Linked DNA regions of Caenorhabditis elegans. The protein of the gene in region 1 interacts with the protein of each later gene in a pairwise test. Each region holds a gene or a part of one and is shown in the gene's direction. Other genes may lie near its edges.

Evidence for each region.
Region 2: the proteins of gldr-2 (region 1) and dlat-1 interact in a two-hybrid assay, tested with the Caenorhabditis elegans proteins (one large-scale study listed by BioGRID).
Region 3: the proteins of gldr-2 (region 1) and Y46G5A.15 interact in a two-hybrid assay, tested with the Caenorhabditis elegans proteins (one large-scale study listed by BioGRID).
Region 4: the proteins of gldr-2 (region 1) and ZK849.1 interact in a two-hybrid assay, tested with the Caenorhabditis elegans proteins (one large-scale study listed by BioGRID).

Annotation. Positions count from the first base shown.
Region 1 is NC_003279.8:15,033,681-15,042,263, forward strand, and holds gldr-2 (PAP-associated domain-containing protein), read left to right. Parts: upstream 1-2,328; 5' UTR 2,329-2,584; intron 2,585-2,688; exon of another isoform or gene 2,689-2,694; 5' UTR 2,695-2,696; coding exon 2,697-2,823; intron 2,824-2,872; coding exon 2,873-2,984; intron 2,985-3,039; coding exon 3,040-3,226; intron 3,227-3,270; coding exon 3,271-3,590; intron 3,591-4,058; coding exon 4,059-4,327; intron 4,328-4,372; coding exon 4,373-4,588; intron 4,589-5,090; coding exon 5,091-5,718; intron 5,719-5,866; coding exon 5,867-6,114; intron 6,115-6,168; coding exon 6,169-6,361; intron 6,362-6,594; coding exon 6,595-6,721; 3' UTR 6,722-6,807; downstream 6,808-8,583. Other genes in the region: F33H2.3 (Acidic leucine-rich nuclear phosphoprotein 32-related protein 1), read left to right, coding at 852-1,448, 1,504-1,596; cyn-5 (Peptidyl-prolyl cis-trans isomerase 5), read right to left, coding at 6,929-7,336, 7,386-7,592; bltp-2 (FMP27/BLTP2/Hobbit GFWDK motif-containing RBG unit domain-containing protein), read right to left, coding at 8,205-8,243.
Region 2 is NC_003283.11:14,443,610-14,449,966, reverse strand, and holds dlat-1 (Dihydrolipoyllysine-residue acetyltransferase component of pyruvate dehydrogenase complex, mitochondrial), read left to right. Parts: upstream 1-2,676; 5' UTR 2,677-2,679; coding exon 2,680-2,893; intron 2,894-2,952; coding exon 2,953-3,679; intron 3,680-3,746; coding exon 3,747-4,199; intron 4,200-4,248; coding exon 4,249-4,378; 3' UTR 4,379-4,644; downstream 4,645-6,357. Other genes in the region: F23B12.7 (uncharacterized protein), read right to left, coding at 1-87, 140-253; fntb-1 (Protein farnesyltransferase subunit beta), read right to left, coding at 524-705, 749-1,017, 1,152-1,348, 1,573-1,884, 1,931-2,089, 2,139-2,225; F23B12.4 (ShKT domain-containing protein), read right to left, coding at 4,766-4,890, 4,938-5,088, 5,143-5,179, 5,227-5,302. UniProt on the Caenorhabditis elegans protein: The pyruvate dehydrogenase complex catalyzes the overall conversion of pyruvate to acetyl-CoA and CO(2).
Region 3 is NC_003280.10:12,780,916-12,787,759, reverse strand, and holds Y46G5A.15 (uncharacterized protein), read left to right. Parts: upstream 1-2,343; 5' UTR 2,344-2,353; coding exon 2,354-2,441; intron 2,442-2,634; coding exon 2,635-2,688; intron 2,689-3,321; coding exon 3,322-3,387; intron 3,388-3,436; coding exon 3,437-3,481; intron 3,482-3,667; coding exon 3,668-3,730; intron 3,731-3,776; coding exon 3,777-3,806; intron 3,807-3,864; coding exon 3,865-3,951; intron 3,952-3,996; coding exon 3,997-4,319; intron 4,320-4,375; coding exon 4,376-4,435; intron 4,436-4,478; coding exon 4,479-4,568; intron 4,569-4,731; coding exon 4,732-4,740; 3' UTR 4,741-5,024; downstream 5,025-6,844. Other genes in the region: alkb-7 (Alpha-ketoglutarate-dependent dioxygenase AlkB-like domain-containing protein), read left to right, coding at 1-76, 548-721, 1,001-1,128, 1,198-1,378; Y46G5A.34 (uncharacterized protein), read right to left, coding at 6,119-6,198, 6,319-6,541.
Region 4 is NC_003279.8:14,181,546-14,189,119, reverse strand, and holds ZK849.1 (PDZ domain-containing protein), read left to right. Parts: upstream 1-3,412; 5' UTR 3,413-3,524; coding exon 3,525-3,602; intron 3,603-4,095; coding exon 4,096-4,287; intron 4,288-4,389; coding exon 4,390-4,551; intron 4,552-5,001; coding exon 5,002-5,141; intron 5,142-5,193; coding exon 5,194-5,314; intron 5,315-5,360; coding exon 5,361-5,432; intron 5,433-6,049; coding exon 6,050-6,142; intron 6,143-6,195; coding exon 6,196-6,333; 3' UTR 6,334-6,525; downstream 6,526-7,574. Other genes in the region: gopc-1 (Golgi-associated PDZ and coiled-coil motif-containing protein), read left to right, coding at 225-323, 827-925, 990-1,100, 1,147-1,467, 1,528-1,661, 1,720-1,858, 2,271-2,435, 2,484-2,584 and 1 more.

The DNA of each region.
Region 1 (8,583 bases):
CATGTGAAGTGCGGTAAATGTTATTGTTAAATATGTTAATGCTGTTGATGCAATTTTTATGCTTATATCTGGAAAATTTTGAAAATTGACCCATTACAAAGGAAGTAGATGAAATTAATCTCAGACTTTGACATGACATGGTATTTTTCCGATCAAATAGTATTATCCATACCAAAATCAGAGATTGAGTTCGTCTACTTCCCTTGTTAGTGTTTGCAGTTACATTGTTGTTTTCGCTTTCTTTGAGCGTACGCCGTGAACTTGGTTCTGAAGATTCGCCGCTAAAAATTTTCAAATCACCGTTTCTAAACATGGTCTATCGACTGACATAAGTCTCTTATGCTATTCCTCTGAGCACCTTCACATGTTCCCCTCGTCAGTGGTGTACAAACGCGCTCCACTGCTAATGCATTTGATTCTCAGCGCGCGCAACCAAATTTGTTTTTCGCGCGCTCTCCTCCTAATTTAGGCCTTTTTTCTTGGCAGTGTATCGATTTTGTTCGTTCGTTGAGCGTTGCGCGTTCATTGTCATTATAGAATCGTATATAAAGCGAATAGAATCAGTCTATTCGCTTGGAATTTTTAACATAGCCTTCCAAAATTTGCTGCACCATCGTTTCATTGATTTTATCCGTGTTTCTTGAGTCATTCGTGCGTGATGTAAGAAACTGGACTCTAAATGGACTAAGCATTTTTATACTGATTGTGACCGTCTAAATAGCTTTTTTTATTCGACTTGTTTCCAATTCGGAAAGAAACTCCATTTTCTGTTCGATTTTTTAATTTTCTCTCTTGTCTCTTACATCTCAACTTTATTTTAATGCCTCTACCTTCAGACTACATCCTCAATCATGCCGTCTATGGCCGAAATCTACGTCAAAGAGCTCAGAGAGAGGGATCCAGCTACTGTCGATACTCTATTCCTCGACAACGCTGAAGATGGACAAATCGGAGGACTCACCGACCAGCTTATCAACTTGGAGATGCTCAGCATGGTGAAGTGCGGACTCACCACACTCGCCGGGTTCCCAACTCTTCCAGCTCTTACCTATTTGGATATCAGTGACAATCAGCTTGGAGACAACGCTTCGTTTGATGTTCTTGTGAAAAATGCTCCAGATCTTAAGAAGATCACACTCGCCAGCAACAAGCTCTCTTTGGATAATCTCCGGTGCTTAAAGGTTCTTCCAAATCTTTTCGAGCTCGACTTGTCGAATAATCCAAGTCTCGGACTCCTCGAGGACTATCGTGAGAAGATGTTCGAGATGATTCCATCGCTGAAGATTCTTGATGGATGCGATGTTGATGGAGAGGAAGTTGAGGAGGAGTTTGCCGGTGAGGGAGGAGAAGACAGCGAGGAGGGAAGCGGCGATGAAGATGGACCCGGACTCAGCTATCTCGAGAAGAGCCAGTTCTCCGACGACGAGACTGACGATTATGCTCCAGAGGTTAGTTTTCGGACTCATATTTCAGAAACGTATGTTCTTAATTTCAATTTTTCAGGGAGGAGACGCTGAACCACGTGGGACAAAACGTGGAGCTTCTGATAACGGAGAAGAGCCAGACAACAAGAAGGCAGCTGGCGACGACGAGTAAACTTCGACGCCTACGGACTCATCATCTCAACCTAATATATTTATTTCAAATATTTTTTCCAAAAAAACTTCCCTCATTTTCTTTATGGCTGCGCTGTACACTAAACCCCAACTTTAATGATCTGAAAAACTGAACCCAAACCACCAGACACTGCAACAACTTTTTGATGAATAAAAAATCTTTAACATTAATCTATCGTTTTATTTTCTTTTGTGGCTTTTGTGTGCATTCTATACCATATTATATTACTGAAACACTGAATTCTGAGAATGCGTATTGCGCAACATATGTATATCTTGCAGCGAAAACTACAGTAATTCTTTAAATAACTACTGTAGCGCTGATCAGATTTTACGTTGTTTATTTTCTAATTTTTTGATGAAAACTATAAAAAAGGCATCGAATTGACAAAAAACACGAAAAATTAGAGGAAAATTAAACATCGCCTGCCACAATCCTAAAAACAATTTGTTTCGAAAGTATCAGCTACAGTAGTCATTTAAAGAATTATTGTAGTTTTCACTACGAGATATTTTACGCGTCATATATGTTGCGCAATACGCTATTAATACGGATTCTCAGAATTTATTGTTCCCGTAATAGTTCTGCCTGTGTGTAGCGCAAACTTCAAAAGTCAATAAACTCGAAATTTGAAAAATTGCCAAAAACGAGACTCCGAAATAACGGGCGCGCGTGTTGTTTAGCGCTTTCAGTCCACATTACTTTTCCCCCACATTTCTCCCAATTTGTTAGGTTTTGCTCATATTTTCCCACATTCGAAGTATTGAGAGTTTATTTTTCCATAAAAGAACCGATTTTCTTCCTAAATCCAGCTGTGCGGTCATTTTTCACGTAGGCATATTTTTTCTCACAATTTTAAGGATTTCTGCGTTCTTTATCAAATGAAAGGTCCCATTTCTTCCAATTTTTAGGTTTTCTGGTTCTCTGCGTTCCATCTTTGAATGAATCTTCGATTGTATTTTTATATGTAGGTTTTCTACTTTCATGTCTAGACATGTCTCCCAATAACGTTGATTTTCTTTTAGTTTTTAGGTTTTCTGCGTTTATTTTCATTAAGAATCAAATTTCCTCTTTCAGAAATGTCGAGAAAACGAAAAATGTCACAGTCGAAAAAGCCAAGCTTACCACGCCGTCCAATTATTCAAAATCTCACATTCATGGGAACTGAATTGGGATGCCCATTGTTAGTTCAGGACATGGATTCCAGTAAGACTAACAAAATTAAAAGAAATAAATAAATATATGTGTATTTCAGTGAACAAACGTGGTGAAGAGCCTCCGGAGAACGCTGACGTGAAGCGATTCATATCGTTCGCCACAATTCCAGCGTGTTGTCTGCATTCAAAAGGAACCGGCCAAGACGCTCAGTCAGTAAATTTACATATTATTATTGCAATTAAATCAATTCTTTTTAAATTTCAGGTCCGCAGACGAGTCGGCAGGTTACGCAATGCTCGACTTTTTCAAACTTTACATCTCTAATGGATTCAGAAGTAAACTTCTCAATTGTGCAAGTGATGAAGAAGTAAAAGAGTTGATTCCTCAAGTTCAACCACTTTTTGAACAATTCAAAGCTGCAATTGCAGCTGATTTTCTGTCGATCAGCAGAGTTTGAACGTCATTTCGAAATTTTGATTTAAAAAAGTTTTTCAGTGCACTCAATTCGAGTTGACTCCAGCAGCGAGGGCACGCGGAAAAGAGCTTAAAAAGCGTGTTCTGACAAATTTAAAAAACGCGGGAGTTGGATACACAACGGTTACTCCTAAGAAAACTTTAAAAAATGATGATGATGACGTGGAAGAAGACGTGCCGAATGAAACAGTGGACCCCAGTGATGCTCCAGGATCATCATCCAGTGATGATATTGTTATCGTTAGAGAAGTTGCGAGCGAAGCATCGCCCAAACTTCGCAAGATGCGAGAAATGGACGGAGCGAAGAAGAAGCTCATCGAAGAAGCTACAATGCGCCTGGGGTACTTTAATTCTGCGATTTTTGTCAAAAATTGTAATGCGAACCCGCGACGCAGATTAAATTGCTGAAAATTCATGTATTCCCGATTTTTTCGCTGGTTGTTCTGAAATTACGGGAAAATGCGTAATTCTAGTAAAAATAGACTCAAAATATTGAGTATAGTTACTAGGATTTTTGACATGTTAGCAAACCGATATATATCTAGCTAAACTTAACATTTAATTTTAAAATCCGTTGGAAATTAATTTTTTTAAAATAAAATAAAATACATGTAATGGGGTTATTCAAGTAATATAGCAAAATGTATGTAAATACATTTGTGACGTCACAAATGTATTTAAATACATGTTTTTATATACTTGAATACAGTCGTGACGTAATTTTTCTAATTTTCCGACACTACTTGAATAACCCCATAAGGTACAAAAATTGCTGCTAATCGTCTTTCAATGAAATGCTATTTTTTTAGTGAAAACCGCCGATCTCCATCTCTCGACTCTGACACCTACTTTGGAGAATGTCAACAGCTGCTTCACGGTCCAACAGAAGTCTACTGTGCCCGTCCCGAATCGAACCAGTTTGTCCAGCAGTACGAAGAAGCGAATTCAACTGAAGCATCTGAGGATGAAGACAAGGAAGCTGTACCGATGAAGCGTGCTCGAGTGGATATAGAAGAAGACGACGACGACGTCATTGTTCTGAATATGACCACCTCTTCTGGAGTTTCGGATAAAAAAGGTAAGTCAGAAGTCCAATCGCAGGCTTCTTAATGAAAAATTCAAGACGTTTCAGGTTCTGAGGACGAAATAGGTGATATAGTTGACGAGTGGGATGCAAATGACGAGGAGGAGAAGACTGACGAACTGGAAGAGCTTGAAGATGACGATATTCAGATAATTGAGGCAGGGGATCAAGGAAACGGTGTAGAAGAGGTCTCAAGCACAGTGATTTCGGTGGAGACTCCCAACAGTTCTTCAGATGAGAATAAGATCTACAATGGTACAGTTTGAGAGAAATGTATTCCTCACCTTACAGTTTTTGGTACTTGTGTATTACATGTCCTCGTTTTTAAAGTATTTTTAAATTATAAAAAATAAAAACGTGTACCATAGTTTTGTATCTGTAGGCTTAGGAAAGAACCATTTCTTAGCCTAAAGAGGAAAAGTGCATACAAAATTAAATTTAAATGGAGAAATTAATGAACATTTCATCTAATTTAAAAAGGATGACATGTAATACACAGGTACCCAGTTTTTGTTGAAATTCGAGGTGGTTACTGCAAGGAGCCAGAAAACACGTTAGATACAAAATCGGCCTGAGAGAAAATTATCAACTTTTCAGGCGTTTAAGGCGAAAAATCATACATTTTTAACACCAACACAAAAAAGATTGCTCCGAAATCAAAAATTGTAGGATCCTCCTCGAGGAGTACACGAATTGCGTATATCGACACTCGCCCAACTGTTCCATTTTCAAATATATAATACAAAATTATTTCCAGGCCACCAAACGCATCAAATTTTCCGAGAAGTTCGCCAGTTGCCAGTCAATTATCAGGCACGAACCATCGGTGTAGTGCTCAACGAGCGGATCGCTGGCTCCGTCGAGAAGTTTGTGAACTCGATCACCAAAAAGTCGTTCAATTCTGTCAAACAATTGTCTAAATTGGCATGGGATCACTACCTGGGAAATGCACAACCGGATTTTGTGTTTCTCAAGAAAATGGAGGCTCGTCAAAAGCTATTCTCGGAGATCAAGAAGCTGTTCCCTGACACAGAGATCAAGCTCCAGACAACTGGCTCAACAGTGAACGGATGTGGATCTTTCAACTCTGACATGGATCTTTGTCTATGCTTTCCGACAAATGGATATAAAGGACAAGTATGCGACGATTTTCACTGCGACAGAAATTATTCGACGAAAATTCTTCGCAAAATTGATAAGGCGTTTCGAAGATCGCATTGGAGCCATCCTCTGAAGAAGATAATCAAGACAATGCAGCTGGTGCCGGCGAAAGTTCCAATTGTGAAAATGATTTTGAATGGAGAATTTGATGGAATTGAGGTTGATATTAATGTTAATAATATCGCAGGAATATACAATTCACATCTCATTCATTACTATTCATTGTTAGTTTTTTTCTCAACAAAAAATCAGATATTTCAAAATTTCGGCTGAATTTAGATAAAATCTTCAATTTTGTAACCGAAAAAATTAAAATGTGTGCCAAGTTTGAAACGCAATTATGAAATTTGCAAGATTTGTTTCTATTTTCAGAACGGATGCCCGGCTCCCAGCTCTGGCCCTACTCGTGAAGCACTGGGCGATGGTTACTGGAATCAATAACGCACAGGACGGATTTCTGAATAGTTACACGACGATTCTTCTCGTTGTGCACTATCTTCAATGCGGTGTCACTCCAGCAGTCATTCCGAACTTGCAATACTTGTTCCCGCACAAGTTTGATCGAAAACTTCCGCTTAATGAGCTTCTTCTGTTTGGCGATATTGCGGACAAGTTGCCCAGTAATTTGAAGTGCTCTTTTTATTATCTGTCTTACTAAATTTAACCATTTTCAGCAAGTCCTCCCAACACGTGGTCGCTTGGAGAGTTGCTCATCGGATTCTTTCAGTACTATAATGAATTCGATTTCACTAATTTCGGATTTTCAATCCGCTCGGGTCAAGTCATTCCTCGGGAAAATCTCCCCCGTGATCTCATCAACAGTCCGATTGTCGTTGAGGAGCCGTTTGATGCGATCAACACAGCCAGGTGAATATTGGAAAAAATGACCGTGTGTCGAGGATAAGATTATTCAGTTTTTGGCTAAAAATTGATTTTGAATCAATTATTTTTTGTGTTCACGCTCAACTCAACATCTAAAATAGTATAGATGGTTGATTATAATTCATAATACCAAAAAAGAAAACATCAATTTCCTGTCTCACTTCAAACACGGTTTGACTGTTAATCACTGAAATATAAGCTAAAAACTAAATTTTCAGAACTGTACGCGATGTTAGCCACATGAAATCTATCAAATCCGCCTTCCGCTGTGCCGTCCAAATAATCTCTTCAAATAAAAATTTTACAATGCGTGATCTCGGTGTAAACGTCACAGAATTTGACTAAAAAGTTAATTTGTTCTTTTTTTTTATTCGCTTCTTTTTTCTTATAGTGTTCGTATAGTGTTAATCAATACATACTTTGTAATATTATTTAATTGGAAACGCACAAAAAAGTCGATAAATTAAAAAGAAACTCGAATTACTCTTTAATTCAGGTGTCTGAAGTCAGGAGAATCACAGATCGATATTTAAAAAGAGAAGTCATTTGAGCTTAGACGACGGCCTCGCGTTCAACAGAGAATGGAGTGTCGACGGCGATGTGTCCAGAAGCGGCGATGATGACGTCTTGCTTCGGGCGGTCCCCAGGAAGCTTCTCGGTCTGTTCGATCTTGCGGACCACATCCATTCCTTCGAGGATCTTTCCGAAAACGACGTGGCGTCCATCGAGCCATGGGGTCTTGACTGTGGTGATGAAGAATTGGGATCCATTGGTATCAGCTCCAGCGTTGGCCATCGACAACCATCCGGCTCCGTAGTGCTTCAGCTTGAAGTTCTCGTCGGCGAACTTCTCTCCGTAGATAGAGCGTCCTCCGGTTCCATCTCCACGGGTGAAATCTCCTCCTTGAATCATGAAGTCTGCGATGACTCGGTGGAACTTGCTTCCTGGATATCCTTCTCCCTGAAAATTAAAAAAAATATTTTGAAACTCGATTTCTTGAGCTGCAAACCTTTGGCTTCTTGGCGAGCTCAATGAAGTTGGTGGCGGTCTTTGGGACGGTTTTTCCGAAAAGTCCGATGACGATACGTCCGATTGGTTTTCCTCCAATTTCCATGTCAAAGTAGACCTTGTCAGTGACCTTTGGTCCTTTGGCATCGTCTCCCTGAGCAAGAGCTCCGACAGCGAGCACGGCCGCCACAACAAGAAGCGACTTCATACCTGCAAAAATTATGGTGTTATATTGCGAGCAAAAAAGTTTAAAAAAAAGCAATAGTAAGAAAATGTAAATAGTAAGAAAAGCAATAGTAAGAAAAAAGCGAAATATCGAATTGTTTGATAACAATAATTAAATACCACATTCGAAAAGACATGGTGATAAGAGTACATTAGACATTTTATGTTTAAAAATGAAAAAGTAAAGCCTTAAAAATGAAGAAATAAATACAAAACAGTTACCAGCAGGAACAATTGAGATGAGTTTTCTGAGAATGACCCGTGCTGAGAGGGAAGACGAAGAAAAAGAACACGTCAGCACACATAAACCACACGGTGCAACGTGGATAGAGCGATAGAGAGGGCAAACTGCAAGTGAGTGAGTGGAGGGTGACGAGAGAAAGAAGGGGAAACCGAGTAAAAGGTGACCAGTGACCATTTGGTAAATGTATAGGACAGGCGGTATGGTGGGGTGGTGGTAGTGTGGTACCAAATGCACACAAACAACAGCGCAGTAATATACTCGGGACGAGGGGGGGGAGGTGAAGACGAGACGAAGATCGATTGGCCTTGACCCGTTAATCGGAGAATGTGATGAGTGGCCGGACGCGAGGCGTCACTTCGGGGCTTTCAGTGTTTTTTGATCGTATGTTGTCTGGAAAAATCGATTGTTGTAGTGGAGAAGGATTATGATTTTAGATTTCACACGGCCCGAGAAGTGGTACCTGTACGCAATTTGTCTACCGTATACCTGGACGTTTGGGCGCGTGTATCTCAAAAACGGTTGGTCCAGTTTTTTTGTGATGCATATAAAAAATGTCCGAAATTAAATTCTAAATTTTTTGGACCAAAGCTTTTTTCGTTATCACGCGCCCAAACCTGGTCTACACTCAAATTATCAGTAGAGCGCATTTGCATGGATGTACCACTTGCCGGGCCGTGTTCAAAAAAAAAAAAAATTCTGAGAATGCGTATTAAACAACATATTTGACGCG
Region 2 (6,357 bases), on another chromosome or scaffold:
CACCGGCTTGGCTGCTCCATTTTGTGCTTGCTTCTTCTTGTTCGTGTGCACGGCACCGCTCTCAAATTGAGCCATAATCTTTTCCGCCTGTAAAGAATAATTTTATTAATTAAAAATTCAAAAACAAAAAATCACTCACGCTAGCCAAATTATCTTCTTTCAGCTTCATCTTCTGTGCTTTTCCCAGCTTCTCCGTTGGCTGCTTCGGCTTTGGTTTCGCCGCCAGCTTCATTGGACGTTTTTTCAGCTTCATTACTGACAATGAATAATCTTAAATTGTTTAAAAATACAGTTTAATAAATATAGCACATTGACATAAAATAAATACTTAGAGAAAGTTAACTTGTTATGAAATTTTTGAAGCAGAAAACAAAATTTTGTTACAACTTTATACAAAAATATTTAAAAAATCGGGTGGAAAACATAATTTAGGCAAATATGAATTAAGAAACTCGTATATGGGACGTCTTTAAGAAGCGAGATTAACGAATGAAATCATATTGAAAGGATACATATCGAACGATCAATGAGAAGTGAAGAACTCCTTGGCAAATTGTTCAGAAGCAATGGTCACGTTGAAAACTGGATTAATTTCAGCAAGCATGTTAACATCACCACCAAGTATTTTCCCATCGCGAGCGAGAGAGTACTTCTGAGCAACTGATAATCCTGAGAGAACGTAGCATGTATGGTACAGGTCGACGGCTGAAAATTGAAGTCATTTTTAGTTATAAAAACTGGATCTTACGCTTGTCCGGCTTATCCTTGAATCCTCCATGTACTGATTGGCATCCAACAAGAATGTACTCTTCAAGCATTCGCGCCTCGAAAAGACCTTTCTCCAATGATCGGCCTTCTCGTTCCATTTCTCCGTCCAAAAGTGGGAAGATGGCACCTTGCCAGAAGCTGTAGCATCCATCAACAAGTTTATTTGTTCTTCCCTGGAAACCACCCTCAAATCGCATCTGCCGGCGCGTGGCCCAACGAAGGAGACCTTCCATATCAGCAAGACGGAATCTGGAAATCATCAGGATCAATGATCTTATTTCAAATTCTGAACTAACTTAATTGATATGATTTTATAAGAAAGAACATGTGGTGTTCACGTGATGGTCTGTCTCTTCTCATTTTCAAAGATAACAATAACTGACCTGTTTAACAGAACCAACGAGGCGACCGCGCAGAAAGTGTATCCTCCGTGTGCCTCTGTATACGGTTCTCCTCCGAAACCACCTTCAAAGCTCTGGCAGCTGATAATCCATTCGGCCACACCATTTGATATCTCATCCATAGGTAGGCCCACAATCTCGCATGTTGCTAGTGCACAGTAGGCGCTTCTCATATCGATCTGGAAATGTTCAATTTTCGATAGCTCAGAATTTTTATGATATCTCTGGCAAAAAAAACAACACTAGAGGCAATTCGTAGAGTGTGCAGCAAGGATCCTAAAGTTCTATGCAAGAGTACGTAGAAGTTTCACTCTGAGTAGGACTTCATCAAGTCTATGCAGGAGTTTCAGTACATTTAGAGCTTTTGAACCATTGCCAGAGATATTCATTAATAAATTATTACCTCTCCTCCCTCGTGCATATAAAATCCTCCGCTCTCATGCTTGCACTTCTTCAAAAAATTGAACAGTGTGACTCTGTTGATAGATCGTAGAGCTTCTTCTTTTTGTAGAGACACTAGGCACATGACAGCGGCATACGTTGGAGCCAAATGAGCCAATTGTCCTGGTCCTCCACCATAGCCACCTTCTGGATGTTCACAAGATTTAAGAAAAACAATAATGTTTTCGATAACATCGTTTGGAATTTCTGCGTCCAAAATTTTAAGTGCATTAACTCCCCAGTAGCACATCCATGAACGACTAGCGTCTAAGGTCTAAAAATTGTAATGTTAAAAACCACTTCTCACAAATCAAACTTACTGCGTAGCTCGACGGGCAGTTTTTGAGATATCTGAGCAAATACGAGGCATGTTTCTGACGGAAAATCGTCAATTCGGCGAGATCTTCGTCGCTTGTGGTCTTGAATGGTTCTAACACCAGTGAATTGTAGTTTTCGAAAAGCATTGTTTCAATACGTTTCTGAAATACTCATAATCGTACATGATAATTACATGGCGGGGTTACAAACCTGTTCAGTGCTTGAGTAGGTGAAATTATCATCGTCGTTACACTCATATTTCTCGTTGAACGAACGGAATGGGATCGAAGATGTCATCTCTGTTATAAAATACAATTTTTACAAAAAGAACACATTAGAAAACACACTTCTCTTGGGAAAACCTATCAAAAACATTTTTTTTCGTCGCGAAAATAAAAAAAAATCGGTGTGATAAACAAGGCGCGCGTGTTTAAAACGGAGTGTCGTTGTCCCCGTCTAATTTTTTCTTTTCTCATTTTTCTGAACACTCTTTTCTGATCAGGAATTCTGACGTTTTATCAGTCTGTGATAAAGTTTTTAATCAGTTATTGCAACAAAAACTCTACGAAAATCAGGCGAGTATGCAGAAAGATGATAAAGTTTTCTTGTAAATTAGCTTTTCATTCCATTTAAAATTTAATAACTTTACAATTTTATATTCTTTATTGTTGTTTGCAAATGTGTATTAAATATCTTATTTCTACGTTTTCTTACAAGTATAATTTTGTTTAAACTGAAAAATATTCAGGTAATGTCGAAGTTCCCGGTGCCGTTGAGAACGATTGGTGGGCTTCGTCCCTCGACAACAGCAGCTATTTCTGCCGCCAACATCGGTTTCACACAATCGAGTCGGGCCCTCAGCACCGGAGCTGCCGCCAAAAGCTCAGGACTTGTTGGACAAGTAGCTCGCCAATATCCAAATGCTGCAGCTTTCAGTATTAAACAAGTTCGCCTTTATAGCAGTGGTGAGACTTTTTTCCTATTTATATTTTCCAACTGGTTGTCCACTAATTCCTTTTTTCAGGAAATCTGCCAAAGCACAATCGGGTAGCTCTCCCAGCACTTTCTCCAACTATGGAACTCGGAACTGTTGTAAGCTGGCAGAAAAAAGAAGGAGATCAACTTAGTGAAGGAGATTTGCTCTGCGAGATTGAAACCGATAAGGCCACTATGGGATTCGAAACTCCGGAAGAAGGATATCTTGCCAAGATTCTCATCCAGGAAGGATCGAAGGATGTTCCAATTGGCAAGCTTCTCTGTATTATCGTCGACAACGAGGCTGACGTTGCTGCCTTCAAGGATTTCAAGGACGATGGTGCTTCATCTGGTGGATCCGCTCCAGCAGCCGAGAAAGCTCCAGAGCCAGCAAAACCAGCCGCTTCATCGCAACCATCTCCCCCAGCACAAATGTATCAAGCACCATCAGTTCCAAAGTCCGCACCAATTCCACACTCATCATCGGGAAGAGTTTCTGCTTCACCGTTCGCTAAGAAACTTGCTGCTGAAAATGGCCTTGACTTGAGCGGAGTTTCTGGAAGTGGACCAGGAGGACGTATTCTCGCTTCGGATCTTTCCCAGGCTCCAGCAAAGGGCGCTACTTCAACCACAACTCAAGCCGTATCTGGTCAAGATTATACCGATATTCCACTTTCGAACATGCGTAAGACAATTGCTAAGAGACTCACCGAAAGCAAATCAACGATTCCACATTATTATTTGACCAGCGAAATTCAATTGGATACACTTCTTCAGTGAGTTTTCTTAAATTATTAAAACAATAAACCCGAGTCTTCCTTTCCAAAAATTACCCTTATTCAGGGTTCGTGAAAAGCTCAACGGTCTTCTTGCAAAGGGAACATCGGGACAAGCCACTAAGATCTCAATCAATGACTTTATCATCAAAGCTTCTGCTCTTGCATGTCAACGAGTTCCAGAAGCCAACAGCTATTGGATGGACTCGTTCATTCGTGAGAATCATCACGTCGATGTTTCTGTAGCTGTCAGCACCCCAGCCGGTCTTATTACTCCAATTATCTTCAATGCTCACGCTAAGGGACTCGCCACGATTGCCTCAGAAATTGTAGAATTGGCGCAAAGAGCACGCGAAGGAAAATTGCAGCCTCATGAGTTCCAAGGAGGTACTTTCACCGTCTCGAACCTCGGAATGTTCGGATCTGTATCTGATTTCACCGCGATCATCAACCCACCACAATCATGCATTTTGGCTATCGGAGGAGCATCTGATAAGCTGGTCCCAGACGAGGCTGAAGGGTAAGAGTTTTTAGGAAATTTATCGAGTTATATAGTTTTTGTATTTCAGATATAAGAAGATTAAGACTATGAAGGTAACATTGTCATGCGATCACAGGACTGTTGATGGAGCTGTTGGAGCCGTCTGGCTTCGTCACTTCAAGGAGTTCCTCGAGAAGCCACACACGATGCTTCTCTAAACGATGGCTTTTTCATTGTTTCCCAATTCATCTCACCATCTTCCTCTACCCATTTTGACCCCCGAATTTACTCCGTAAAGTCTCGAAGTGATAGCGTATAACTAGGTCATAATTTTATTATTTCTTTCTTTCTTCACTACAGCCATTTTCGCTTTTATTTTTCTCATTTTTCATGGCATGTTTCCCAGTTAATCGTTTAATTTCTCCGGTAGTATGTGTAAGTGAATTATTAGAAGAAGTTTCCTTTAAAAAATGATTTATTATTTTTGTCTGTCATACAGAAATTTCAGAAACTCGTAGTGTGTTTGGAAAAGCCTAGCGGATCTTTAGTAATAGTGAGCAAAATGTTGAGAGACCCTAGGAAACAATATGCTTCAAGAAACGAATTCAATGACGACGACACAGTCCGCATGTTCTTGCGCAGAACGCCGTTAAGTATTGCTGATGGGATGGTGAAGCACAGAACTGACGCCACTGACTGCATCTTCCTTGAGGATCACGATCAGCGCATTCTGAAGATTCAAAAAGATTCGACAATATCCTAGATCTAGAAACATACGTCCGCCACCGAAAGCCGGCTGTGGCTGCTGGAATACATTTTGCCGCTGAGCAGCAAAACTGTTACTCTGTCCACGTCTTCTTGAAATGAACACATTTTGACGATTAAATGGAGATTGTGGCTGTTGAGCAACAATTCGCTGTCGTGGACGCTGTAAAATTGCAATTATAATATAGATCAGAGAGTAAAAGAAAATATAAAATACCGCAGGAATTGGTCGGAATGTTTGTTGGAACGTTGGTCTGGAAAAAATCAATATTACCGACATTACAATATGTGAAAAACGAACTGTTGTGTGAATGTAGCTTGTGTTGTCGGTGCAGCAGTCACTTGAGCATCTCCAGAAGATCCACGTTGGAAGCCATCTGAACAAGGCAACTAGGACTAGAACACAGGAAAATGAACGCGCTACCACGGAAACCGAAAAACTCAGACATCACTCAACATGCTAAATCAATCAAAAACTGAGCTTTCAAAATATGTTCCAAGAATTCAAAAAACACATTCATTCAACTCAATAATAATATCGTAGCTTCGAAATTTTCTGAAACGCGTTCTCAAAGGGACACAGATTTGTTCCGATGGGTCTTACCACGAATACAAATACAACAGAAATTGAAAAAAAAAATACTGAGATAAATACTGAAACATTATACCTTGCCGTAAAGATAATGCACCAGCGGGTCTCGAAACTATCAAACCTTCGCAGCTACAGTAACCCAAGAATTTAGTTTTTTTTTGTTGCAAAATTTGGCGAGTTTTTCATGATTTTTCAAGAAATTTATAGTTTTAACATTTATAAAATTAATTGAAAATTTAAATACAGAAGGGAGAAAATAGTAAAACGCTTGCGGGTACGGTGGCTACGAAGTTTCGATCGTGTCGAGAGAGGCCCCACGAAAAGGGGAGCAGAACGAAAAGGGGATCTGCAAAAAGGGGATCTGCGAAAAGGGGAGATACGAAAAGGGGAGATACGAAAAGGGGAGCAACGAAAAGGGGATCTGGCACTGTGCCAAACGCTATTTTTCTCGAAGAAAACGATACAACGATGCTCCGATGTTACGCGTCGCGTGTTGTTAAGCGTATCTTCTAGAAGAAAATTTCAAAAATCAACGTGCGTTGCGTGAGAAAAATTGCGTTTTGTGCGTTTGGCACAGTGCCAGCTCCCCTTTTCTAAAACTCGCCAAATTTTGCAAAAAAAAACTAAATTCTTGGGTTACTGTAGCTGCGAAGGTTTGATAGTTTCGAGACCCGCTGGTGCATTATCTTTACGGCAAGGTGCTCCCCTTTTCGTATCTCCCCTTTTCGTATCTCCCCTTTTCGCAGATCCCCTTTTTGCAGATCCCCTTTTTGTTCTGCTCCCCTTTTCGTGGGGCCTCTGTCGAGACTGCATTTTTGAGCGTGAAATTTTTTCTAGATT
Region 3 (6,844 bases), on another chromosome or scaffold:
CGAAGAGAAAAGCCTTCTCGTCGACGTTGAGCCACACATGAAGCGTCTTCGGTACGAGAAGAGCCATTGGGACGATGTAGGAGTTTTTGATCATTTTTATGAGGAAAACAGATTTAAAATTTACAAAATTCAAAAAATGATAGTTTTGTGAAAAAAAATTTATTGAAAATCTCGGATAAAATATGTTTTAATCCAAAATTTGACATAAAATTTGAAATTTAGAGTTCTCAGTCAATAAAACATTACTGGTGGCTTAGAAATATTATTCTAGGCCATCAATATATTGTCGATGACCTAGAAATTAAAATTTTGGATTTCTAGGTCATCAATATAGAATTGGTGGCCTAGAAATAATATTCTAGGCCATCAGTAAATTGTCGATGGCCTAGAAATTGAAATTTTGGATTTATAGGTCATCAGTATAGAATAAGTGGCCTAGAAATCGTGTTCTAGGTTTCAGATGAATTCATGGCCTAGAAATACCTATTTCGAATTTCTAGGCCACCAGCAAGCTTCCCGTGGCCTAAAAGTCTCCCATATTTTCTAGGCCATCCACCTATACCGAGAACGTGAGCAACGAAAATGGCGAGACGAGAATCTCGAAGTGATCTCCCGCATCCGGAGTGAATCGTTCGGCGCCAACACCGAACATTTGACCTACGTGCATATTTTGGATCTACACAAGGACGGTGTCATCAAACCACACATTGACGCGATTCGAGTGCGTGCAAGTTGACCAGGGTTCTGGGCTTCCTCATCGAATTTTTCGCGCTCTATTGACAATCCCCCGCCGGACAACGCGTGGGAAAGTCGTGTACTCCACACGGACAAATACATTTAGTTTTACAACTAAAATCGAGCCGCGACGCGACACGCAACGCGCCGTAAATCTACCCCAGATATGGTCGAGCCAACATGGCCTAGTTCGGCAATTATTATCATTAGAGCGCATTTAAAACTTATAACTCAAAAATATTCAAAAAAAATCCGAAATTTTCAGTATTGTGGTGACGTCATCACGGGTGTCTCCCTGCTCTCCGACGCTATTATGCGGCTCCGGCACAAGGATCAGAAGGATGAACTGATTATGGATCTTCTGATGCCTAGAAGAAGTTTATATCGATTAGGGTGAGTTTAGCCATAGAGCGAACTTGCTCACCACATTTTTAAAAAATCTAAAAAATTCGAAAATTTCAGCGGTCCCGGACGATACGATTTCACACATGAGGTGCTCGGCGAGCAGGAAAGTGTGTGGAACGGAGAACAAGTGCCCAGGGAGCGAAGAATATCGATTATTTGTAGAGATCTTCCGAAAGTGGCGAATCGGCAGACGGCTGAGGAGGAGATTAAGCTGAAACCGATTCCTGAAGAAATTTAATTGTTTTTATTACCTGTGGTTCTTAGAATAAATTGTTGCAATTAATAAACAATTAATTATATTTTTGTATTTCATTATTATCTAGAGGCGAAATATTGCGATTTTAGCGCCAAACATGGTCTCGACACGACAGATTTTTGTTAAATGCAAAAAGGGGCGCGCCTTTAAAGAGTACTATAGTTTTTATCGATTTTCAGAGAAATTTCAAACTACAGTACTATTTAAAGGCGCACAGCTTTTTCGATCAAACCAGAATTTGTCGCGTCGAGACCTGGTACCGTATTTTGGCGCAAAATTTAGCTTCTGGTTAATAACACAATGTTATAATAACTTCTCCAGCACAGAAAATTAGCAGTATTTGAAGGTACGAATATATTACGGAAACACAAAATTCTAAGAATACGTACTGCGCAACATGTTTGACGTGCAAAATATCTCGTAGCGAAAACTACAGTAACTCTTTAAATGACTACTGTAGCGCCTGTGTCGATTTACGGGTTGTTCTATCTTATCGATAGAGAAGCTTAAAAATGAGAAAATATTGCAAAGAAACTAGTGAAAATGGAATATCGCTCGTAAATCGACACAAGCGCTACAGTAGCCATTTAAAGAATTACTGTAGTTTTCGCTACGAGATATTTTGCGCGTCAAATATGTTGTGCACTACGCATTCTCAGAATTTTGTGTTTATATAACAAATCAATTAAAAAACATGTTTTATTAACAACTTTCCCTCCGCATCCAAACCCACATAAACAATATGAACACATTTCTCTGTTTCTCGTGCACTTTTGTCTCGTTCTCTGGCCCCTCTCACTATTTCTTCTTCAACACCTTTTCTCCATTTTTTCTTATTTTTGTCTAGCAAGCGAACAATTTTCTTCGTATTTTCGAAAACTGACTTTTGCCACGTGGAAGCTTGCGAGAAATCGATATTTTCTCAAATCAAAATAATCATTTAAACTTTTTAGAAGCATGAGCTCATCTAGTAGAACTCTCCACCCGGGAAGCTATGCGTTCCAGGAGGAGACTCGGCGTGATCTCGAAAGGCTGGCGCAACTTAGTAAGTTGGTTAAATTTTGGCCGAGGTTTCTCTTTCACGGCCACGAAGAAAAAAAAACAATATTTTAAACCAATTTACTCAAATTTTGGCAATTTCCCTAATTTTGGCAATTAACCATAATTTACTAAATGAAAAATAAGGTAATTATGGTGAATTGCCAAATTTTGGTAAATTAGTAAATTTTCCATTTCAGACCAGAGCACTTCCAGGAAAAGCCGTGACCGATACAGAAGATCTCCGAATAGGAGTCAGTTTTTTTTTCTAAATTAAATTATTTTTATAATGTCAATGGGAGTAGTAAAACTTTTTAAAACACCTTTTTTCATAATTTTGAAATTTGATCAAAAAAGTTATTATTTTAATCGATTTTTAATTATTTGTGTTTCAACGTTGTAGCTTTTTCTCAAAAATTTCTCGAAAAGTACGCATTTTAGGAAAATTAGGTAGTTTACCAAAACTTGGCAAACTGGCAATCTACCAAAATTTGGCAATTTACAAAAACTGGCAATTCCCTAAAATTTACCAATTCACCAAAATTCGGCAATTTTCCAAAACTTGGCAACTTTCCGAAATTAGGCAATTAACCAAATTTGGCCAGTTTTCCAAAATTCGGCAAATTTACCGAAACTTGGCGATTTACCAAAAATTGACAATTAACCAAATTTTGCCAGTTTTCCAAAATTTGGCAATATTCCAAAATGTGGCATTTTTCCAAAATTTACCAATTTACAAAAACTTACCAGTTTACTCAAATTTGGCAACTTATCAAAATTTGGCAATTTGCCAAAACTAACGACATTTACAAACTTACCAAAACTTGGCCGTTTCCCAAAATTTATCGATATTTGTAAGTTTTCTACCAACAAAACCCCAATTTCAGACTCGAACCGCCACCATCCTTACCATCCCAGTTCTCAGCCTGCTTTTGCTCCGTTCAGAAGCTCCCGTGAGTTAAAAAAAATTGTTTCAAAGAAAAATCGAAAATAATTCTTCAGAGTCTTATCGCCCGAGAGAAAACGAACCTGAGGAAGAAGCCGGTGGTAAGTGCGGTTATATTTTTAATTTTTTCAAAAAAAAAATGTCTAGACAATTTTTAAATCTTGTGAAACGTCTAGCATAGGTCCAGGGCACATTGAAAACTTTCTGAAATTTTAGAAAAATCTGCAAATTCAGATTTTCGCCATCTCAGGTCTTAATAATATTCCAAAAGGCGTTTTTTTTTTCAGGCCAGTCATCCTCAAGCTCAGCATACGAAGCCCCAGAAATGGAGAGACAGGCGACGTCACCGGGTAATTTTCAAAATTTTGAATCAATTTTCTAAGCATTTTTTTACAGAACTGGATTACGCACAATATCAAAACAGAAGTAAGCAATTTTTTAAGTCAGGAAGTCTAGGTTGAAGATTTAAAAAAATCAATTTCAGGCCATGATGATGAAGTGATGATTCTAGAGAATGAGCCAAAAGAGCAATACCCGATGCCCACGGAGACGGTGGAGCCAGTTACTAATGGTAGATCAAACGAAAATATTCTTCTCAAGTTTCCTCCAATTTCAGAAACTGAGCCAGAAGTTGCAAACTCCACTTTTGAGCAACAAAAGAGAGAGCTCACTCGTGAGCTGGAAGACTTGGAACTAGCGAAACTCAGAGCCCAAATCCACCACGAGAAAGCTCTTATGGAGATTGAGGAAGAGGAAAGAAAGACAAAGCTTGAGTTGAAGAAAAAGTCGCTGGAATTTGTGCAGAAAGAGTTGCAGCTGAAAGTGGAAGCTTCTGCACTGAAAGATTCAGAGATCAAGCTGGCAAGGATGGAGGCTCAGAAGATGGCTCGACGATATGAGGACGCGTACATTGAAGACGAAGAAATAACTCTGAATCCAGTAAGTTATCAGATTAATATAAGTTTAAAGGTTTTAATCGAAATAAAAAAATTCAGCAATCAACTCCGGAACCTCTTGAAAAAAAGTCCATCTCGACTAGTCGCCAGCGAAACCAGGTTTATGGGCAATCTGGAAACTTTTTTAAACTTACTATTTCAGATTGCTATCAAACGCGAGCCGGTAGAGACGTCAGCAAGGGAATTGAGACCACGGAATACTCTCGGAAAATGGCAGGGAAGAAATTCAAAGGTGGGACTCTCTTTTCGAGGTCGTGCTCTTAAAAAAAAACTTTTTTAAACAAGATTTTTTTCAAATTGTTTTTACAAATTTTTTTACAAAAAGAACTCAAATTCAAATTCGAGTTCAAATTCGAGTTGAACTCAAAATTTTCAAATTTTCAAGAATTTTTCAGATGGAGTAAGGAATTGGCTTCTTCATGGCTCCTAATCTTCTTTTTGGTTTTATTATATTCTTGTTTTGTAAAAATGCATTTTCCCTCCTTTTTCTCAATTTACCACCATGACCAAAAATCCCATTGAAAATCCCATTTCATTAATCAGTATTCACTTTTTTTCCCCACACTTCTCTCATTCTATTCAAGTAAGTATTTTCTCACATGCAAATTTCAATGTCTGAATTTTTATTCAATTCTTGTTTTTTTCTGTTCTATGATATAAACATTGGTGAATTAATTATGCGGATTTTTAGAGGACGTTTTACTGAAGCACATGGTCACAGGGCGATCAAAGAAATTGTCGGCGTAAAGTTAAATTTCCGGCAATTCTGCAAACCGGCACTTTGCCGATTTGCCAAAAAAAATTCGGCAAACTGTGGGTTTGCACATTTTTTCTGGAAATTTCAAAAAAAAAATTCATGTCAAAATTTTGAAAAATCAGTCAATTTTATGAACGCCGGAATTTTTTTCAACTAATATGACTACTAAGCCGAATATGACTACTAAGCTACTAAGCCGCAGACGATTTTTTCCGGCAAATCGCCAAACCGGCAATTTGCCCGTTTGTCGATTTGCCGAATTTACCGGAAAAACGGCATTTGCCGAAAATCTTCGGCAAGTTGTGGGTTTGCACTTTTTTTCTGGAAATTTAAGAATGTCAAAAGTTTGAAATATCTATGAAAACATCTAGAGAAAACGGAAATTATTGATTTTTAAAAATCCCTTTAAAATATTCCGACAAGTTGATATCCGGCAAACGGCAAATTGGCAATTTGCCGAGATAAGAATTTATGGCAAATCGGCAAATGGACAATTTGCCCTGATGTGTACCTTTTTGACCAAGTAGCAAGTAGAAGCTGAAAATTAAATTCCGGCAAGTCGGCAAATTGCCAAAATTGAAATTTCCGGCAAATTGGCAGAAATGCCATTTGCCGATGTGCCGAAAAATTTCGGCAAACTGCAGGTTTGCACAAATTTCTGGAAATTTCTGAATTTCAAAGTTTTGTAAAATCAGTAAATTCTATAAAAATATGTAGAGAAGTTCAAGTATTTCCGTCTTATTAAAAATCCCTCGAAAATGTTCCGGCAAATAACCAGGTATCAAGTAACCAGGTATTACAAACCCTTTAAAATATACCGACAAGTAGATATTCGGCAAACGTCAAATCGGCAAATTGCCGAAAATAAAAATTTCCGGCAAATCGGCAAATGGGCAATTTGCCCTGGTGTGTACCTTTTTGACCAAATAGCAAGGTGAGGCAATAGGTGTGCTCACGGAGCAATAGAACATTTCTTTCATTCAATTTACAAGAAAAAACATGAATTTCAAAAAAGTTCACAGCTGTTAGGCAACAGTTCCCCAGTTGGACTTTGCGTCGTTGATTGTCTCGTTGTCGTCAGCCGGACGCTCCTTCATCGGTGGTTCTGCAAAAAAAAAAGTAAGTGCCGACAAAATCCAGGTCCACGAACACAGTTCAGTAGACATCCATGGATCTATCGCGGCTCTGTTAGACTCCGCCCAAAAATTGCTAATATAGAACCCACCTTGGACTTCATTCTTGAGAAGACTATTAGCATCTCCAGCTCCTCCACTACCTCCGCCGGCACCGCCAGACTTGTTTGCCGATTTGGCTCCGCCCGGAGTTGGCCCACCGGGTTTTCCGTCGAGGTTACGTGGCTTCAGTTTTGCCGCTTCGTTCTTCTCTTTCTTGCACGAGACGAGAATCGACGCAAGCACGGTGATGGATATGAGGAGTTCAATGAGCATTTTTTTCAAATTGTCACGTGTTTGAGCGTATCCTGGAAATTGTCATTATTTCACAGATCGACTTTGCCGCAGTACTTCAAAAAGTTTTAAACAACCGAGTTTTGAACAATTGAGAAAACTAGGCCATCGATTGTTTAGCTAGGCCGCGCTGTAAATGCCCGCCGGCCGGAAAGCATACAACTCGGCCACCTATGTTTTTTTTTCAGCGGCCACCCAGCACATATATATATTTAAATGAACTCACACTTTGACAAAAATGGTTTACAACGCCGTCGGCCGGTTAGATTGTTCGAAATAAATTGA
Region 4 (7,574 bases), 850 kb from region 1:
TTCTTAAAAACGAGCGAGGCATCTTCTTATTCCTCACAGAGCCCCCCGACGCCTTTCTCTAGAAAAGACGGGAAGAAAACGACAATTGGATTATCCGGTGTCCCCCGACGGCTCTTTTCCACCCTATTCCAACAAACACACACACACACACACCCAGTTCTCCACACATATCATCATCATCATCATCATCATCATCACCCCGAAACTAGTGTTTTACTAAAAAAATGAGCCATTGTGCGGCTTGCTCTGGCGCCAGGCTTCAGGCCCAGACTGTGCTTAGGGTGGACCCGGAGTCTGAGTATTTTGAGTGTGAAGCTTCTGCGGTGAGTGATTTGGGCTTTCTAGGTTCTAAGCCTAGTCAAGCCCGGCTTTTTTATCCTCTTGGTTTGAGTCTACCAAGCCTAGCTAAACCCGGATCCTTGATCCATCCGTTCTTGGAAACCAATAATTCGAATTAGATTTCCCATTGACTAGCCTAGACTTATGAAGCCTATCATTGTTGAGCTAAACTAGGCCCGGTACCTTGAAACTTCCCGCCTAGTCTGAAACGACAACTGACTGGACCGGGCCCTTTTCAGCTTAGCCTGAATCATATTTATCCAAGTATTTGCCCATTTAGGCCCGAATTTTTGGTCCGATCAGCTTATCTTATTCCTTATTCCAAATCAGGGCTCTTTTCACAACAGTTTGCTCAGCTAGGCCATATAAGCCAGAGCCGTCAAATTTTCTAATGACTAGCCGGGATCCTTGATCCTTTCAACTCAGCCAAACTTTGATCGGAACCCTGCCCTCCCCTTGATTACCCCTAAAACCTCAAAATTTCCAGATGGAAGGTGGCTCAGGATGGACAGAATCATTGGAGAAAGACTTCGACAAAGCATTCGTCTCACTGGATCTCCTGCTAGGAGAAGTCGACTCGGACCAGGTAAGAGCTTAGAACTTCAGGCCACCTGATCAAGCCCAGGTCCACAAAATCCTAACGTATCCAGGTTGAGATCACCTACGAGGGCCGGCAGAAGATGACGTCATTGAGCGCCTGCTTTGCACAAATGATGCACAAGTGTCAGTTCATGATGCACACAATTAGTAAACAGGAGAAGGTGAGTTTAGGCTTGCTGAAAAAAGTTGGATTGTTAATTTTTTCAGGAAATGATAACAATGCGCGCCGAGGTCGTGGAAGCCCGCGCCGCTCGACAGAGCATGGAGAAGGAAGTGGAGCAGTTGATGATCCAAGTTCACTCATTACAATGCCAACTGCATTCCAAGACGGCGCCGCATGAGTCAGACATGATTAAGAAGAAGCTGGAGACCCAGCTGACACAGTTTCGATCAGAGCTTACACAGGGTTTGAGCACGGTTTGTGAGCTGGAAATTGCAAGAAAGGAGTGTGATCGGTCAAAACGGACGATTCAGGCCTTGGAGACTGAGGTCTTCGGGGCCAGGCTGGCGGCAAAGTACCTGGATAAGGTAGGCCATCGGGCTTTAAGGCTTTAAGGCTTCAAGGCTTTACATACCCTAATCTTCCAGGAACTCGCAGGCCGGATACAACAAATCCAGCTCCTGGGACGAAACATGCGCGGCGTGGAGCACGACAGGCTCTGGAACCAGCTGGAAGCCGAAATTCACCTCCACAGGCACAAGACAGTGATCCGGGCTTGCAGGTAGGCGGTCACGTTTCCCATGGCCGCTCCCCACTTGAACAATTTGCCATTCTTGCAGAGGACGGGGTAACACGAAGGGATTAACGGCGCCACTTCGTCACAACTTCAAGAGCCTCCGAAAACGAAATGGAGTGGGAAAGAGCAGGAAAGTGGTGCTCTCGAAACACCCGCACGAAGGGCTCGGCATTTCTATTACGGTAGGTGGGGGGACTTGGATGGTTTTGGGCCAGTAGATCATTGACTAGACTTGTTCCTTTGGGGATCCACGGGATCCTGTAAGATCTGAGAGTTGATCCAGTTCCCGTAAGACCAAATGTGCCATCTGATTATGAGGTACTTTTGCACGTGGTGTCAGGCTGTCCCATTGCGGTTTGATCTACAAAAAATGCGGGAATTTTTCTCCCAGTCAGTTGAAAAGTCTGCGTCTCTTTTCCCGCATTTTTTGTAGATCAATGTAGATCAATCTAAAATGAGACACTCTGACAACCCCTGCTTTTGTAGTTCTGCTGCATAGCTCAAAACTACTCCAGATAGTTTGCGGAGCTCCGGATGGATCCTAGTTCTTCAAGATCTTAAAAAATCCTACTGGATCCTAAAATCCATTTCCAGGGAGGATCCGAACACGCTCTACCCATAGTGATATCTGAAATCCAGCCGGGACAGCCTGCTGACCGATGTGGACAGGTCTTTGTGGGCGACGCGATTCTCTCAGTAAACGGCTACGATCTTCGGACTGTCAAGCATCAGGAGGCAGTGGATATTTTGAGTGGGCAGGTAAGATGCTGCCAGGGGCCCTCCACCTACATCCCCTCCAAATTCCAGGTACAGCAAGGCGACCTAGACCTGGAGCTCGTCTTTGTGTGCCCCGATGAGGATAGTGATGATGATGGGACGGTGACGATCGAGCACAGCGATGGATCTATGTGAGTTATTGGGAATTTTTCGGCGGGAAATTTGAATTTCCAGTTAGTTTTTAGCGGGAAATTTAAATATTCAATCGATTTTCAGCTGGAAATTTTGATTTTCTGTTAATTTTTGGCGGGATTTTCATATTGCCAGTTAATTTTAGGCGGGATTTTTAAATTTCCAATTGATTTTGAGCTAGAAATTCAAGTTATAAGTCAGTTTTAGGGAGGAAATTCAAATTCTCAGTTAACATTTAACTGGAAATTTAATTTTTTAGTTAATTTTTCAACTGGAAAATCAAAATTTTGGTCATTTTTCAATAGAAAATTCAAATTTTTTGTCGTTTTACTATAGGAAATTCAAATTTTTAGTCAATTTGCGACAAAAAATTCTAAATTTTCTGTCTATTTTCGGCAAGAAATTCAATTTTTCAGCCTATTTTTTGGGGGAAATTCAACTTTTTAATGAATTTTTCGGCGGGGAATTCCAATTTTTTGTCGTTTTTCTATAGGAAATTCAACCTTTTAGTTAATTTTTCGACGGGAAATTCAAATTTTCGGCCAAATTTCAACAGAAAATTCGAATTCCCAGTCAAATTTTTAAATTTTTGTTTTAGCTACAACCTCTACAGTATGGAAGAGCCCACGTCAAGCCGATCGTCCAACAATTCTGATGAATCACGCAGCACGTGACCTCCAAAATGTGGAATTTTTTGACGGGTTTTATTTAATTTTTTTTTCAAAAAAAAAACTTTTTTTTGTATATTTTCCCGTGACTTTCCTCCTCCCCCTAATTGCCACGTCATTTCCTCCAACTCATTGGATTTTTTTTTGGCTTTTTCCAACTTTTTGCATAAAAATCTTTTATTGTTTGAGTTTATCGATTTTTCTTCCGCAAAAAAATCAATAAATGACGTGTCAACAAATCAATCGTCTTACTGCTGTCTTCAATACGGCAATGTCCAAGGCGCTGGCTTCCGATGAGAAGGACGACTGGATTACCCATTTGAAGGCAATTTCGAATGTTTTTACGCAGGTAATATGATCTTCCGGTCGGGCGGGAATTTGAAAATTCTGGGAGAAATATTGATTTTTTGGAAAAATGTCAGTTTTCCGGCAAATGTCATTCAAAAAATTATTGATTTTTCGTCGCACTCCAACGACACTCCGATATTCCGCTGACTAAAAGTAGGCGTGGTCAGGCGGGAATTTAAAAATTTCGCTTTGAAAATCAGTAAGAAATCATCGATTTTTGTGAAAATTGTTAGCTATCCGGCTCGAAATATCGAAAAACGGTTTGAATTTTGTTTAGTATAAAGTTTCTTTAAAATCCCGGTCGGGCGGTAGTTTAAAAATTTTAGAAAAAATCGATAATGTATCGACTTTTCGGTATCCCGGTACAAAACTGTGGCGGGAATTTGAAAAGTTTCCAATAGTTACTTCAAAACTCCTTTTTCTCGGTTATTGAAAACTTGGCAATGACGAGAAAAATCGATAATTTATTAATTTATCACAAACTATTTTTCCAGGTTTGCACTTTGTCCGCCAGTGAAGAATCCGCTAAGAAATTGGCAATCAAGGAGCGTGAGGAGTGTCTCCAGGAGCTCGTGGAGCTTCGTGCCATAGCTGAAGCCCATGATGACGTCATCCAGCAGTTCCACTTGTTGCTGGCCGCGAATCATCAGGGAGACGCGACTTCCAGGCAGATTTTCAATGATATGGTGAGGGAATGTTGCCTGCCTATACCTACCTAGGTGCCTACAAGTACTAGGCAGGCAGGCACTTTCGTGCCTACCTGCCTACTTCAACGCTTAATATTTCAGAAACAAGAAGTCGGTGACAATATGGAAAGGATCCAGGAGCACCGTCTTGTGGAGGCTAAGCTCAACGTGGAGAAGCGGCGTAACGAGCGGATGGCGAAGCATATCAATGAGGTGTCCAAGAAGAGTGTCATGCATCTCATGGCAACCAGGTTCTACGCAAGGGTACGGTTCTACCTAGTCGATGCACCATGTGGGGTAGAGGTTCAGGTAGCTCTGGTTACCCAAAAATTGGTGATTTCCACTTTGGCCACATTTTTTGCTAGCCTAAACCTCAGCCAAAGCCTACACCCAAACCTAAGCCTTAATCCAAGCTTAAGCCTGAGCTTAATCCTAGGCATAAGCGTAAGCCTAAGCCTAAGCCTTGGTCTAAGCGTAAGCCTAGATCACAGCCTAAGCTTTAGCATAAGCCTAAACCTAAGCCTAAGCCTAATACTAAGCCTACGCCTAAGCCTAAGCCTAAGCCAAAACCCAAGCCAAAGCTTCAGCCTAAACATTTTGTCGATGCACCATGACATTTCCCCCACTTTTTTTCTAGATTTTTGGCCCCTACGCATCATCATTTTTTACATGATCATGTCCCCTCCCCACACTTTCCCATGAGACTCATTACAGGAGCTGGCAGCAATGCGACAGATGATGGATTTGGTGCGCAACGCGGCAACGATCGAGTCGGCCGTCAAATCGAAACTGTGGGACGAGATCGAGAAGGAGAACCGCTTGTTGCGTCTCAACACGCTTTGGCTCATCAATCGGTAGGTGATGGATTTCTGTGGGAACTTGTTGGAGCATCAAAAAATTTTCCAGGATCAACTCGTCGGACCTTGGTGATGCTGCATTTGAGAACGGAGACGATTGGCAGAGCTCTCCGCGGCTCGTGATTCTCATGAGAGAGCATATCAATCAGGGGCTTGGGCTCGAGATTACGGTTGGTGCCGAAAAGCCAAAAAATTTGAAGAAATGGAATTATTCAGGGAGGTTGTGATCAGTTCCGTCCGGTCGTGGTCACTGGGAAGTTGAAGCGGTCGATGGCGGACGATGATCAGGTACAGTACTCCTACAGTACCCCTTTTCCTACAGTACCCTTTCCCTTCCTATAGTACCCCTCCCTACAGTACCCCCTTACTGCAGTTATTTCTCTCTACAGTACCCGTTTCTACAGTACACCCTTACTACAGTACCCCCTGCCTGCAGTACCCCACTTCTACAGTACCCCTCCCTACAGTACCCCTTCCCCAGTACTCCTTTACTACAGTACCCCTGCCTACAGTACCCTTCCTACGGTAACCTTCCAGCAGTACCCCTACCTACAGTACTGCCTCCCTACTGTACCAGTCCTCTATAGTATTCTTTTAGCAGTTCATCCTTATTGCAGTACCCCTTCCTACAGTACCCCTTCCCTAATGTGCCCTTCCCTGCAGTACTCCTTTACTACGGTATTTTCTCCCTACAGTACCCCATTTCTACAGTGCCCCCTCCCTACAGTACCCCCTTCCTACAGTACCGCTCTCTACAGTATCTCTCCCTGTAGTATCCCCTGCCTACAGTACCACTCCCTACAGTATCCTCTCTCAACAGTACCCTATTCCTACATCACCCTCCCTACAGTATCCCTCTCCCTACAGTACTCTCTCCCTACAGTACCCCTACTTCATATTTCCAGCTCCGTGTGAACGACCGTATCTTGGCGATCGATGGGACCTTCGTGACCAACACCACCACCCACGCCGAGGTTATGGAAATGCTCGAGAATGAGGTGAGTTTCGCATTAGAGCGCACTTGTAGCCTTATATAAATTTGAATTTCCAGAGCGCCAAGGATTTCATCTCGCTGATTGTATCGCAATTCGACCCGACCAAGTACCACGAGGCCCATCCAAACGGGAAATGTCACAAATTTGTTAGCACACCAATTTCGGGAAAAGCCGATTCGGGGGAGGATGTCTGAATTGTCTTTTTTTTTTTGGTTGCAAAATTTATTTTTCTCTAATTCTCTCCCTCTCGTACAGTTTATAGACTTGTTTGTGTGTCTCTTTTCGATTTTTTTTTTATTTCTTTTTGTGTTTTGCCGCCAATTTTTTTCGTTCTTCTCATGATTACCCCCCTCTGAACCTTTTTAAAAAATAAAAATCAGCGGCTGTCTACGTCTCAGGGATATCAAATGAGACGGAATTAAAGTGGCTCATTTGAGTTTTATAGGTTTTCGGGGAGAATTGATTCCTGGGAGCTTTTCCTCCACTGCTTTTCATTGCTTTTTTGTTGTGGGAACACTCTGCAACAAATTTGGTGGTGAAAACCTGAAAATTTAGCAATTTTCTCATTGGGGCGCATTTGCAACATACCAATTTGAATTTTCAATAGGAAAACTTGTTTCTCTTGTTTTCACATTAACTTCTATCGATTCCTTTTAAATTTTCGCTGAACCGTGATTTTCCAGCAATTTCGCGGGAATTTGAATTTTTAGTTCGAAATTGCACTTTTTTGGTTTTAGCAAAACTGGTAAATAAATATAACAGTTTAAATTGTTGGTTTTGTTGGAAAATCACAAGAAAAATCGATTTTCCAGTTATTTTCTCATTGGGGCGCGTTTGCATTATGCGGTCCGCGAGAATTTAAATTTTTTAAAAAGAAAACTTGTTTTTCGAATAAGTTTAAGACAATTTGCGCTCAAAAAATAGCTAAATGCGTGAAAATTCCAGTAAAAACTCAGTTTTTGCGTATTTTCTCATTGGGGCGCACTTGCAACGTGCGGTCGGCATGAATTTGAATTTTCATAAAGAAAACTTTGTTTTTAGGTGTTTTAAAACACAACTTTTAGTTAAAAATGGTTAGTTGAGTTCAAATATCTTGGAAAAAACATTGTTTACGTATTTTCTCAATGGGGCGCACTTGCAGCTCACGGTCAGTGGAAATTCAAATTTTTGAGTTTAAATTTTAGTTAATTAGGTTTAAAGAAAACTTTCATTTTCAAAAATAACAAAATGTGCTCAAATACCCCCTCAAAATCAAAATTATCCTATTTTTCTCATTAGAGCGCACTTGCAGCTTGCGATCGGCGGGAATTTTTTTTTATATTTTTAAGTTTAAAATTGAGTTTTTCGGGTGTTTTGAAATGCGGTTAATTTAGTTCCCTTAAAATTTAAACGAAAAAAAAAAGGTTTTTGCATACTTTCTCAATGGGGCGTACTT